2 linked regions of the Lonchura striata genome follow. The protein of the gene in region 1 interacts with the protein of each later gene in a pairwise test. Links are inferred from orthologs where the notes say so. Each region holds a gene or a part of one and is shown on either strand. Other genes may lie near its edges.

Region 1 (6,998 bases):
AGTTTTACTGTACTCAGGAAAAAGGCATTTATTTTCAGGGCTCCTCTTCAGAGGAATTTCCCTCATTTCTCATCTTTCCAGCTGTTCTGATACTCTCTTATATTGGAGAACCTGTTTCTCTTGGTGTCCTGAGCTGATTTTGAGCAGCTCAGTGAGCTGGGCTCCAGGTCAAAGGCTCTGAAGTATTAACTCCAAAGTGAGCCTGATTATCCTGAATTAAATCTGTGATTATGACAGGACAAAACACAAGTTTGCTTTTGGGGGTTGCAGTAAGTATTTGACCTATTTTCTGTATGTAGTAGGAGCTGCCAGTTGAGCAGATTTCCCAAATTTTGGCTAATGTAAGATTTTTCATGTACCTTTTATAGGTTAACACTACTACATTTGAGACAGCATAAAGATAAAATCTGACACTTTGCTAGCAGCTAAAAAAAAAAAAAAAGAAGTGAAAAGCACCATAAAGCACACAATTATATTATTTTTTATTTCTCTGCATATCTTTAGAATTCAGCAGGTACTCCTGTGCTTTTTGGGGCTGATACTCTGCAGAAGGGGCTGTTAACGTCCTCACTCACTTGGATCCTGAAATCCCAGTTTCATGGATACATTTTCTGCCTGAGGGGAGGGCAGTGGATGTTTTCCCATCTTAATTTGTGTCACCTTCTTTCCATATCAGGTGTTCTTGGGAGCCTGGGTTTACAGCAGGGGTCAGAGGTGCCGATTCCAAAGGTTTGTGTTCCCACATGGTTACAGTCCATTGGATTTATTTGCTGTCACTTCAGTTCCTCCGGTTCCTGCTGGAGAGCTGGACTGAGCTCAGCCTTCCTCTCTTGAATAACTCTGGTCTCTCCCTGAGAACACCAAGTTTAGAGAAATCAAAATGAAAATTAGAAGAGGGAATTTTGTGCCTTTGTTCAAGTGTAATGTAGCAGCACCTGCACTGAACGAATCTTGGATTATTTCTAATGTTGGCTCAAAATGAATTTTTTTTTTCTTCTTTGAAACTCTTGTGGGCCACTCCACATTGGGAGTTAATGGAAAACAGGGCTGGGGAGAGAAAGCACCTTTTAAAAATGGAGTCTTTGGCTCTGTGGGTTCTGATGGTTATTTGCAAAGCCTTGAAGAGCTTTCATCTTTATTTTTCAAGTGTTCTTCACAAAATTAAATGTCATTTTTATCTGCCTAGTTGGGTTATCTGTGGATGTCTCACTGGTTGAGAATGGCACAAACTGGTTTCTGACATGAGTATTAATCAGCATTCATCTTCCAACGTTCCTGAACCAACATTCCCAGCTCTGGGGGAGGTTTCCCCTTTCCTTGTGGCTGTTGTCTTTTCCTGAGGCTCCTGGTTTGGTCCTGGCTCAGGGCTCTGAGTGCAGGAGCAGCTTTGTTTTCGTCCTATGTTTCCAATCCCTGTGGGGAAAGCACTGAGGTTGGCAGGGAATGTTCCTCCATCAGGACACAATGCCACTCTGATGCCCTAGACTTATGAAAAGCCTTGGAATTTTTTTTATCCCAGTTTTAATGAGTTGTTTGGAGTGGTTATTTTGAGCAACAGGTTTTGACTGAAATCAGCAATTGGCTTCTAGAGACTACTGAGCCAATTTCTGGGAAAAAAATTATATTTAGGGTGTTGGTGTTTTGTTTTTTTTTTTTGGGGGGGTGGTTTTGTTTGTTTGTTTGTTTGTTTTGTTTTGGTCATCTACCTCATCCCAGCTTGCTCAGACCTTTCTGGGATTCTGGACCTTGAGACTGGGGGTTTCCAGGTACAGAGTTGAGCTGAAAGATTGCTACATTTTTCTCAGCATCCTTTCCTTCCTGACAGGTGCAGAGTTCATGGCATTTCCAAGAGGTTTACTAGGGCCATTGGGAAGAAATCCTTCCCTGTGAGGGTGGTGAAGCCCTGATCGTGGGTTTTGGTTTCCAGTTAAATGGACCTGTGCTTCCTTGGGGTGCCTGTGTGGGAAAATGAGCTAATGAGGCCAAATGTAAATTCCCCCCTGAGATTCCTCTTCAGGCATCTCAGATGCTTCCTAGATAGTCAGTGAAAAAGCCCAGATAAACTACACAATCCCAAAATAAACATTCCCTCTTTCACAGAGCAGCTTCTTGCTTCCTCTGAGACTTCTTCCAATGCCCTGGGATGTGGAAGCTGTCAACACCTCCTGTTCTTCCCAGGATCACCAGATCCTGGAGTCAGAGCCTTTCTGGGAACCTCAGGGTTAGGGGGGAAGGTAAAATGCACTTCCCCCCTTGAGCACCTGCCAGGAGCCCAGGTGAAATTACCCTCTTGGTATAGAAGTGTCTACTGCCTTTTTGCTGGAAAAATTTCCTTGCCTGCACTAAGACCAGATGGATTTGCTTTGTAATACCTCCATTAATTCCCAAATCTGACTCTTTCTTTACAAAAGGCTGTGGGTTGGAATGGAGTGGGTGATCAAGTGCCACCCTCTTGCCATGGCAGGGACACCATCGACTATCCCAGGCTGCTCCCAGTCCTGTCCAGCCTGGCCTTGGACACTCCCAGGGATCCAGGAGCAGCCACAGCTGCTCTAAAAACAGTGCCAGCACCTCCCAGGAAACAATTCCTGCCCAATATCCCATCCATCCCTGCCCTCTGGCAGTGGGAAGCCATTCCCTGTGTCCTGTCCCTCCATGCCTTGTCCCCAGCTCCTCTCCAGCTCTCCTGGAGCCCCTTCAGGCCCTGGCAGAGGCTCTGAGCTCTCCCTGGATCCTTCTCCTCTCCAGGTGAGCACCCCCAGCTCTCCCAGCCTGGCTCCAGCCTTGCAGCATCTCCCTGCTCTCCTGGATTTGCAGTCCCTGTTTCTCTTGTGTTGGGTCCCACAGAGTCACCTCTTAAGTGATGAAGCAAAAACAAACAAACAGAAAAAAAACCCCAAAACAAAACAAGACAAAAAACAACAACAAAAAAACTTTTCCTGCTCCAATTCCTGCTGCTGACACACAGCATGTCTCCCTAACACGTTGTTCACTGCCTCTTGCTCTGAGGGGTAGGGGGGCATGGTTTTGAGGCTGTTTATGGGGGATTTGGGGCTGTTTCCAGGGGTTTTGGGGGGCTGTTTCCAGGGGGTTTGGTGCTCTTTTCGGGGGTTTTGGGGCTGTTTCCAGAGGTTTTTTGGCTGCTTCCAATGGTTAGGGGCTGTTTCTGCGTTTTTGGGGGCTGTTAATGGGGATTTTGGGTGCTGTTTCTGCAGTTTTGGGGGCTGTTTCCAGGGATTTTGAGGCTGTTAATGGGGGTTTTGGGTGCTGTTTCTGGGGATTTTGGGGCTGTTCATGGGGGTTTTGGGAGCTATTTTGGAGGGGTTTGTGGCTGTTTCTGGGGCTGTTTTCCGGGGATTTGGGGGCTGTTTATGGGGATTTTGGAGGCTGTTTTGGGGGGGGTTGTGGGCTGTTTCTGGGGATTTTGGGCCGTTTATTGGGGTTTTAGGGCTGTTTCTGGGGATTTGGAGTTTGTTTATGGGGGCTGTTTCCGGGGGTTTTGGGCACTGTTTATGGGGGCCTTTGGGGGCTACTTTTGGGGATTTTGGGGCTGTTTCCGGGGATTTTGGGGCTGTTTCCGGGGATTTTGGGGCTGTTTATGGGGGCTTTGGGAGCTATATTTGGGGATTTTGGGGCTGTTTCCGGGGATTTTGGGGCTGTTTATGGGGGCTTTGGGAGCTATTTTTGGGAGGCTTGGGGGCTGTTTCTGGGGCTGTTTCCGGGGATTTGGGGGCTGTTTGTGGGGGGTTTGGGGCTGTTTCCGTGGATTTGGGTGCTGTTTCCAGGGATTTTAGGGTGGTTTCCAGGGTTTTGGGGACTGTTGCTATGTTTTTTAAGGCTGTTTCCGGGTGTCTCGGGGCTGTTTCCCGGGTTTTCCTCGCTGAGGGCGGAGCGGGCCGGGCCGGTTGCTATGGCCGCGGCGCCCCTTAGCGACCGGCGGCTCGCGCGGGGCACGCCGGGAGCGGCGGGCCGGGGGCGGGCGCGCCCCGCCGCGGTGCCGGTTCGAGCCCCGCCGCGGTGCCGGTTCGAGCCCCGCCGCGGTGCCGGTTCGAGCCCCGGCGCGGCCCGGCCCGGCCCCGCCGCGATGAACGAGGCGGTGTCGCGGCAAACGCGGGAGACCCTGGGGCAGGTGATCCGCAAGCCGCCGCTCACCGACGCGCTGCTGAGCAAGCCGCCCTTCCGCTACCTGCACGACCTGATCTGCGAGGTGGGTGTGTGGAAGCCTGTGGGGCGTGCCCTCAGCGGTGTGTGAATCGCGGGGCTCTGGGCACTGCGTGAGTTTGGGGTGGAAAGGCGCGTGTGGCGGTCGGAAAGGGGGTCACGTCTGCAGAGGCAGGGTTAGGTGGGGTTTTGGGAAGGAATTCTGCCCTGTGAGGGTGGGCAGGCCCTGGCACAGGGTGCCCGGAGAAGCTGTGGCTGCCCCTGGAAGTGGCCCAGGTTGGACAGTGGGGCTTGGAGCAGCCTGGGGTAGTGAAATATCACAGAATCCCAGAATCCTTGAGGTTGGAAAAGCCACCCGAGATCTCTGAGCCCAGCCTGTGCCCGATGCCCCCCTTGTCACCAGCCCGGAGCACTGAGTGCCATGTCCAGGCCTTCCTTGGGTACCTCCAGGGATGGGGACTGCACTCCAGTGCCTCACCACCCTTCCCACGAAGAATACATTTCCTGCTGCCACACAAGATTTATTGAGCAGAGGCTTTAAATGTTCTTGACTTACCCCATTCTGTTTTTTAGGTGATCAGAGTGACAGGTTTTCTGAAAGGACTTTACACAGATTTCGAGTTGAAGTCTGATAATGTCAAGGTGGGCATGGGACTTCCTTATTTATTTAGTTTTCAGTGTTTTTTGCAACTCGCCAGAAGGTTCTTTTGGTCTTTTCTGTGTTCAGCACCAAGGAGCTGTTGTTATTTTTGTGAAGAAGTTGTAAATCCTGCCTGTGGGGTATAATATACTTTCCATGGGGTGAACACCTATAGTTCTGTGTCCAAATTTCTGGTTTTAAAGAGTCTTGTGGTCTCTCAAGAGAATCCATGGCCCTTAACTTACTGCTCTATATATCTTTGTTTATAAATATCCCCAGGACTCACCTATCTAGGATATGCAGTAGCTTTATTGCTGTGTAAAACTGGCTGATTACTGAAAGAGGAGTTTGATATTATTACTGAAAACTCCTTAAGTCCAAGGTTGACTTTACTCTCTGTCTGCTGCTTTCCTCTGATTTTTGGCTGAGCTGATGCTGAGTTCCCAGCTCCCATCCTGATTTGGGAGCTCTGGTTGCTGATTCCTGGCAAACAGAGCAGTGTTTGTGTGTTGCCACTTAGGCAGCTGATCCCATGGTGTTTGTTTAATGTAGCAACTGAAGTGTGAGCTCTGACTCCTCATCCCTCCAGCCAGCTCTTGCATGTTTTAGTCACTGATTAATGTGTGTGTTTATTTCTGTGACTGTTCCTACTGCCGTCAGGATAACTAAAATTAAGTAATTTATAACTGAATTGTTTGGTTTCTTGATAGTGTCCTTGTTGACCCAAAAAGCAGATTTCCCAGCTGCTCCTGAGCAGGTCTTTGTTGCATCTACGTGCTGCTATGTCTCTGAGAATTTGTTTCACAAATTTCTTTCACAGCCGATAAGTCCTTGGGGTTTTCCAGAGCTCAGGCAGAGGAAATCAAAATCCTGGAGCGTGGGGGAAAATGTCTCAGCCTTAAGTTCCTCTTCCCAAAACTGGTCAGGATGAAGACTCAGCTGCTTCCTTACTGTGATCTCTCTTGGAGTTGTAGAAGATCTGGAGAATAATTTTTTCTGAGTAATCAACAGGAGAGAGCTGTAAGGAGGACTGAAATCATGATGATTTCTTAATTGTGAGGACTTCTGTGAAATTTCACTTGGCTTTACTTTGTTTATTTGATCTTTTATTTTTACTTCTGATTTTATGTTATCACTGGAAGACATCATCTCTAGTGAAGGGCAGCTGGGGCAGGTTGTTATTAAAGGATATTTGTAAAACTAAAACAAACATGATTATTGTGGAGATAAAAATTTTCTCTTAATTGCTGTTTTACCAGGATAAGGATTCCAAAATCAACTTCCTTCAGAAGGCCATCGATGCTGTTGTGATGGTGACAGGAGAGCCACTGTCAGTGAAACCAGCACGAGTTGTGGCTGGACACGAGCCTGAGAAAACCAATGAATTCCTTCAGGCAATTGGGAGGTGTTGCTTAAATAAGGTAGGAGATGATACAGATTTTATGCACACAGGGAGCAGGGACAGGAGGAGAGGGAGCAGCCGCAGGCTGGGCCAGGGCAGGCTCAGGGTGGACATCAACAGGAATTTCCCCATGGAAAGGGTGCTCAGGCCTTGGCAGGGGCTGCCCAGGGTGGTGTGTAGTCCCCATCCCTGAAGGTGTCCAAGGAACACCTGGAGGTGGCACTCAGAACTCAGGGCTGGTGACAAGGTGGGCATCAGTCACAGCTTGGACTTGATGACCTTGGAGGTCTTGTCCAACCCAAATATTCTGTGTTTTAATTACCCCTCTGCTGTCACTAATTGCACAGTAGAAACATTTTGTCACCCCTTAATAACAATAACAGCAGATAGAGAGTTCTTGATCTTCAGCAAGAGCTTGAGCCAGCTTCCCACACAAATGCATTCTGAATATTAAGGATTTTATTGCTTACTGTTGTTCACTTTATTTGTTTGTCTTTTAACAACACTTATTAGATTTGAAGCACAAAATGAAACTTCTGAACCTTTAACATTTTGGGGTACAGATGCATTACTTAAATAACCAGTTCCTTTGGCTTTATCTCCTTTCAGTCAAATCTCTTAATCGTGGAATGCAAGTAATTTCTCCACTGTGCTTTTTTTTGATTATGGAAATACAATAATGGCAAAATTTGATAATTGGTTAAAAACAACTGCAGGAGCTGTTCTTATACAGAATTATTGCATTCTTTCACAGAAATATTATGTTTTTACACTGAATTGTTACATTCATAAAAT
Region 2 (7,336 bases), on another chromosome or scaffold:
AAATAGTTGATCTTTCAATTTAATTTACAAAGCCCAGTTGCTAAGTAGGGCAGTGGAAGAGAGGTTGTGTGACTTGACACCTGGCCAGTAAGACACTAAGTAAAATTATGGAGTTCCCTAAGGACACAGAACCCCAATGTCAATACCAGAATTACAGCTCTTCATAAGGGATTGCTCCAACCATCAATCTCTGAAGAATTTTTAATAATCTAAATCCTTCATACCTTGACATAAAACTTAATCTAAAGCACTGGAAAAGTTTTACCTTTCATTCTTCACATCTTCAAATGCTACTTATCTGACTTGAAATGCATCCAGCCAATGAAACTGAACTATTATTTACAGCTTGTAAAATAGAAAAAAAAAAAAAAAACAAAAAACAAAAAACCAAAACCCAGGCATATGTCTTCCCAGGAAATTATAACTTCTTTTCCTCTTTTATGTGACATGCAGGTAGGTAAGAAATTCTGTGGAATTCTACTGGCTTCTGTCTCCAGAAAACCCACTTTCTTGAATAGTAATATCAGCACCAATATCCAAACACAAATCCTTTACACTCCTTACTATAACACTGGTAGATTACTTCTACCTCACTTTAATCCTGCCTATTCCAGACAGTACTTTTGTTTATATATGTATACACACACAGAAACACAGAGACACATAGACACAGTATGCTTTCAAATACATGAGCTATGTTTGAACTTCTAAGCTAAAACTTCTAGAAACAGATGTGGTCTGTATAGGACAATCCAGACACAGCCTAAAAAGCGTTTAAAAAATTTAGAAGTGTTGATGACTACCTAACAACAAGATAGAAGAGACATCAATAACCAAAATTAATTTTTAAATATACAAGAAAACATGACAGAATACCTGATATCAAGACCAAATATCTACTTAAATAACAGTTTAGACTCCAGTGAGTCTTCAATCAATGCTGCTTACATCAGCATTTCTTGGACACATATGCAAGAGCATCTACATATACTGAAAGACCAGCCTACTCTTTGTCACTTGGAGGGTAAGCTACAAAGTCATTAGAAGTGAAATCTGGAATTATTTTCCAGAAGTAATGCTACCTGCTTTTAGCAAATACTGCATCATCAGAACACCTGCACCAGCATTACTTAGTAATGGCCAGCAGCCAAGAGACTGCCTGGTATAAAACCTGCTGATCTTTACTTGAATGTACTTCTTACCATGTCCAAAAAAACCACGGGAAACCCATTTAGTTTTAGATACTAACAGCTGCTGTTGATCTGCCAAGTTCAGTGCTGGACAGGGATACTACTGGTAAACAAGTCCAATTAACATCACACAACCAAATTTTTTCACCACTCTACTACTTGGTGTCTCCAAGCAGGGGCTGACAGCGGTAATGAAATTGTTAGGATGAAACATGACCAGCTTATTGTTTTTCAATAAATGTTTTGCCTCAACTTTGTTTCATGCCTTAACTAGCTAATGTCAGTCCAGAATACATCCAAAATCTGAGATAAAGCCAACAGCCACCTTCAATAAAACATTGACACAAACTACTGGACAGCTCACAAAGTTGCTGTCCGATATTTGGGACCTCAGCAACAGCCCTTAAACTCTCCAAAGGTTGTCCCAATCTACAGCACAGCGTTAACCCAGTGCCTTGCCATTTAAGCACGCCATCACCCACACCTCTTCAGAAGTGGAGATGCAGTGCTGTGGAGATGGCCCTACTCATGCCGGTGCTTGGCCAGCTCTAGGAATATCATTTATGTATATCTCATCCTAGCTTAATCCTGACCAAAGTAGGCAATGACAAGCATGTGTCCATTTTGCCCCATGTCTGATTCTCTCCCTTCTTCCCGAGCCCCTGCTCCATAAGGCGTTCTTTACACTGTCTTCCTGAATAAAAGGCAAGAGGTCATGAGGAAAAAAAATGGCCGAAAGAGCAGTATTATGCAATAAGAGAAGAAATGCAATAATAACTCATCCTCTCCTGGAGATTTCCCATCACCCTCATGCTTTGCAAGCTGGATTAGAGCAAGCGTGACAGCCAGCCGGCTCAAAGGCCCACTGAAGTGCCCTGCGGGCAGGCTCCTCAGCCCCGGGCCTTCGCTGGGGAAACAAAAAGGGATGCTCACAATCCAGGTGCTTTTTCTTGGGCCCCATCACTTCATGCGTGGTGGCTTTGCAGACGGCTCTGGCTACGGCCGATCCCGTAACGCTGTACTGAGCAGCTGCGATGCGATCTGTCAGCGTCTGACCCGACATCTTCGAACGGCGTGCTGGCTGCTGCCTGCTCTGCAGGGGCGAAAGACACGGAGGGGAGGGGGAGATGCCGGGTCTGTGGCCGGGGGGAGGCACGGCAGGGGCGCACAGGCAGGGGCGCACGCAGCCGGGCACTCGCACAGCCCCGCCGCACGCACAATGGTCCCCCGGGCAGCCCGGCCCCTCCCGAGGCGCAGCCCCCCCGCCCCGTTGTGTAAGCCTCTGCCTCGCTAGAAGCCGCCCGGGGCAGGAAGAAGGGTATTTTAGGCGTTGCGAGGAACAGATGAAGGGGAAATAATGACGGCAGCTGAAGGAGGCTGCACACAAATACGGTGCGAGCCCCCGGGATGGGGGGCAGGCATCCCTCCCGCACCTGCCTCGGCAGCGCCCGACCCGCGGCGGAGCCTCCGCCGCGCCCCGGCCCCGCCGCACCGCCCGCGCCGCCGCCTCCCGGGTGGGAGATTATGGCACCGTTGCGCCATGTTCTGCCCTCCCGGTGCCTCCCCACCGCCACCCCCGGTCCGACAGGGATCCCCCCCCGCCCCGGAAAGCGGGGCGCCGCTGGATGCGGCGGCGCCCAGCGCCATGCAGCATCCCGGCGCGGGGGGACAGCGGGATGGACCGAGCGCCAGCGGCCGACCTGTCAGCGCGTCCTTCCCTCCCGTCCTCCTGCCGCCGCTCCGGGGAGGGCACTGCCGGCCCCCGCCGCGACCGCTGCCCGGCCCGGCCCGCTGGCGAGGCGCTCCGCGGCGCAGCAGCCCCCCCCGTCCCCCCGGCCCCGGTAGCCCCAGGTGCCGGGCGGGCTGCACCCTCCCGCCGCCGCCGCCGGGGATGCGCTGGGCGTCCACGCCCGGGAGCCGACGCTGCTATTTCCAGCCGGCGGCTTAATCCTCCCGCAGCCTAATCCCCGCGCTACTGCCGCAGCAGCGCCGCCCCCTAGCCCGGTGCAGAGGGCGGGACGGAGCGGAGCCGAGCGGCGCTGCCGCCGCAGATCGGTGCCCCGGCGCAGTCAGGTGACCCCGTTCCCCACCCGCATCCCGCTTCCCGGAGCTGGCGGCGGGCACGGCCGGAGATGCTCCCACGCGGGGGCTGTCCCACTGGGGATCCGCGACTCGGGGGAGCCGAAGCCACTGATGCTTCCCCGGTCTGCATCATGGTCCTGTCGTGAAAAAGCTTAAAATAGTGCCTTGAGGGATCCCAAAACCGCACATAGACTAGATTTCTCCAGAATGTTGTTATGATGTTATTGTTATCAAAAACATCTGAAATATGTCCCCAGAATGGGTTTTCTCTCTGTTACCTAAGGTACCCTACGGGTCTTGGTTACAACCCAACCACACTCGGGAGGATATAGTGCTACAATTTTATTGTGTAATTGAAGCACACCGGAGTGATCCGTGGAGTATTGGGAAATGTGGCGTACATATATTACCATAAATTGGCTGAACTTAGTTTTGGAGTAAAGTGATTTAAGTGGGTGGGGTCTAAACGAAATGGCACTGGTAGCAATTACTTTGAGCTGCCGGTAGAACAAATTTCAGAATACGATGTCAGTGCATGTTATTAATTAGCTGCAGAAAACACTATGTACAGTCAGTATTGAAGAGTTGTGCACACCAAGTGATAATTGGGTTGTGTTGCACACAAAGACACACAGCACCATTTTCATTTGTTATACCAGGAGCAGAACACTGACAAAGGATTGTGGTCTGCGACAGTATGAAACAGCAGGTTTTTTACTACTTCATTCTTTCTTTTTTTTCTTTTTTCTTTTCTTTTTTTTTTTTTTTTTTTTTTTACCCAACAACGCCGACGTTTTAAAATCCTAGGTAGCCTGAAAGCTTGAGAATGCTGTTAAAATAATGGTCAAAAATTCAAGTTAGCTTTTCTGTGGGAAAATTCTTACAAAATAGCTGTAAAATGGTGCCTTGGACCACTGAAACCAGGTGTTCAGATTTGCACATTTTTGATATTGGTTAAATCTCCTTCTTTTTTGCAGAGCAGATAGAGATTTTTTGGATTTCAATATTCAAAGGTTTTCTCAAATACAGTTTGACTACGGAGAGGAATTCAATTTCAAAAAAAGATGTAAAGTGTATATCACTGTTATAAATCAGCATTAGGAATCTGCCAACTTTGAATATTTCCATAAGAGAGATTCTCATATTCCAATAGTGAGAATGTGTCCGTACTTCTCACTTCTCTTCCATATTAAGTAGCAAATAAATAAACCATGGAGTTGCACAGAAAGATAATACTGTGCTCTTTAGCATTACTGTAGTCCACCGTTCAAGTATGGACAAATTTTAGTAATACTTAGAAATTGTTTCTGTTACCACAGAAATGTTAACTTCAATGCCTAGGAATTTGTCATTAATGATATGATTTGTGGCAGCTAAAAGCATGTCTTAGCAGAAGCACACAAACAATTTTTCCCTGTACTTCACAATTGGTTATTGGGGTTGTACTCCCGATTGATTTCAGAGGAAAGAAAGAGTTGGGATCTAATGATACTTCATGTTTCATTACTGGCGTTGAGTGACTCTGAACTTTTCTTGGTAATACTTTCAGGAGTTTAGAATGGCTTGACTTTAAAAGAGAAACTTCCTTTTAAACTGATATATTACAGAAGAAAAACACAAATTGTTTTGGACCTTGTAGACTCCATAGAGCAGAAATTTAGGATGGTTTTATTTCCTGCAAGCATGATAGTTTTCAGTTTTATGCTAGTCTAAGTATTTAATTAGTGATGCAGCTTTTATTAACATCTAGTGTACGTCTTCATTGTGAAGGTCTGGATACTTTCTAACTAGTCTGTGTTGTTATCAACAGATACTGTCACTGAGATTCTCATCTGTGTCACCAAAAATTGTGATTGTTATTACTCAGCTAATTTTATATCTTCATATCGCCAATATATTGAAGCAGAAGATAAGTCAGATAATCTATATTGCCTTAAAATTTATGCAGTTTCTTAATGAAAACCTAAGGTGCTTTAAGAAGGTAAGACAAGAAGATATTAGTACTCTTTAAATTCAGAGTAAAGGGATGTGATCTACTGAATCTGTATTGCTTTTGGATTTAAAACCAAACACCAGTCCCCCAAAAATAAGCCAACCCCACAAAACAGAAGTTCGTGTTTGTATTGAAAACCGCACAGGAAATAGGAGCCATCTTGAATAAGGATACACCAGAGAGAGCTGACTATGACTAAATAGATGGGGAGTTGGGGTTGACATTTCACAGCCCCAAGATGAAGTCCCAAGAAGCTGCCTGGTGTGCTGGTGTGCTGGCTCTCTGAAACCCAGGTTCACAGCTTGGCTGGTGGAGGTCTGGATGAGGGACATATGAGCAGCTGAAAAGAGTTCTTGCTGTTAAAAATATCACAGAATCAGTGATGTCTTTCTTGACTCTTTGTAAATGTGCTTTCAACTTAATAATGAGAGCCTTAAAGAAGAGGAGATATATCAATGACAAACTGAATAGCCATTTTGAAGCAGAAAGATAATTCTTAACTTAATTTGAAGTGAGAAAAATAGAGTTGGTCCGTATTAACCTCACATTCAAGCACACGTGGAGGGAAGGAGGCATGTGTAAGGGCTGATTCATCACACCTCACACCTGAATTCTGCCCCAGAGACGCCCATCTCTTCGGTGATACAAGGCATGTAGACTATTTTTGTGCACTAAGGTGCAATGAAAATCTGGTTGTTTCTCACCATAATTCTGCTTTTTTTCCATTTTTTCCCCAGTTTCTCCTGCCAAGTCTTCCAGTTCTCCAGCCAGCTTTGGTGCCGTTTCCTCCTGCCTTCACAGGCCAGGCAGAGATTTAGACCCAGCTTGTCTGTGCCTGAGCTTGCATCAGGCCCAGTGCTGTTGTTCTGCTTCTACCTCTTACTCTTAGGGCCAGTGGTACAAACAGAGCTCCTGGAGAGGCTGGCTGTAACCATAGTGATAGCAGCAGTCCTAAACAGATCTGTTTAGCTCTAGGAAGGGGGAAAAAAGACTTTTCAAATGAGAAGCATCCTCCTGACTTTGTATCAGGTTGATAGAGCCAGGTAGTTTGCATTAGGCTTTCTCTACAATGCAACAGAAGTTACAACACAACAGTAGGTGCTCAAATAATGCAATACTCAGGAGTTTCTGGGCTTCTTCTGTCAGATATAACCTCATTGCTTGGTCTTGTAAAGGTTCTGTCCCCAAGTGTTTATTCAGCCTCTGTACTCACCATCCTTAATGGCATTTGTTTCAGTAGTTCCTTTGGTTGCTGTGATATAAAGCAGCAATGAGAAAGCAGTTTGTCAATTTTCCAGTCTGAATGATGGTCTGAGAAGGATGTAGCTTGAATGTGTTTGTACATCCCAGGCAGAAGATTCATCTCATTTTGGAGAACTACTTGAGCTACTGAATCTAAGAGAACTGCCATACACAGTGGTAAGGGTACAGGCTTGGTGGCATGAGTATATACTCTACATCCCATAGGAAAGGCCTTTTTTGTGTCTTTGAAGATCTTTGAATATTAAAAAGTTAATTTAGTTAAGAGAGAGAATGAATAGAAAAGTTACACAAAGCATGGCTGATGAGCTCTTTTACTGCTGGTTAAGCCATGCCAGAGTGAGGTCATGTTCTGCAGAATATGGAGTGCCTGCATATTAGAGCTGGTTACAGAAAGATGGTAATTGGCCTGTTCTGTACAGATGATAAAGATGTGTTCCTTACCCAGCATGCTGGTTCCCACAAGGACCACCTTAAAATCAGTATTATTTTAGAGACCTCTGTTGACTGATGCATTAATGGACCCCATCATCCACATTACAAGGATAGCTTTTGCTGCTGGAGTAGTTTTCTGGGTTGTGTCTGGCAATAACACTGAGGTTAATAGACTAGAAAGGGGACAGATGGACATATGTATCAGAAATGGAGCAAAAGTCCTGTATTTGTGAAAGTCAGTACCTGTGAAATTCCTTACTATTTAGTATTGATTTTGGTCACAAATTTTGTAATCCTGATAGAGCTTCCAAAGCAAAAGTCTGGAAGTATGAAGCGTATTGCACTTCCACACAACAGATTCAGACTAGGCTTAAAT

What was found. The genes of interacting proteins can lie anywhere in the genome.
Region 2: the proteins of TRAF3IP1 (region 1) and SNAP91 interact in a two-hybrid assay, tested with the Homo sapiens proteins (2 studies listed by BioGRID and IntAct). The link is inferred for Lonchura striata from reciprocal best matches to the Homo sapiens genes TRAF3IP1 and SNAP91.

The regions. Positions count from the first base shown.
Region 1 is NC_134610.1:36,519,215-36,526,212, forward strand, and holds the start of TRAF3IP1 (TRAF3-interacting protein 1), read left to right. Parts: upstream 1-3,998; 5' UTR 3,999-4,084; coding exon 4,085-4,207; intron 4,208-4,734; coding exon 4,735-4,803; intron 4,804-6,060; coding exon 6,061-6,222; intron 6,223-6,998.
Region 2 is NC_134605.1:80,055,394-80,062,729, reverse strand, and holds the start of SNAP91 (clathrin coat assembly protein AP180), read right to left. Parts: upstream 3,009-7,336; 5' UTR 2,891-3,008; intron 2,284-2,890; 5' UTR 2,254-2,283; coding exon 2,124-2,253; intron 1-2,123. UniProt on the Homo sapiens protein: Adaptins are components of the adapter complexes which link clathrin to receptors in coated vesicles. Clathrin-associated protein complexes are believed to interact with the cytoplasmic tails of membrane proteins, leading to their selection and concentration.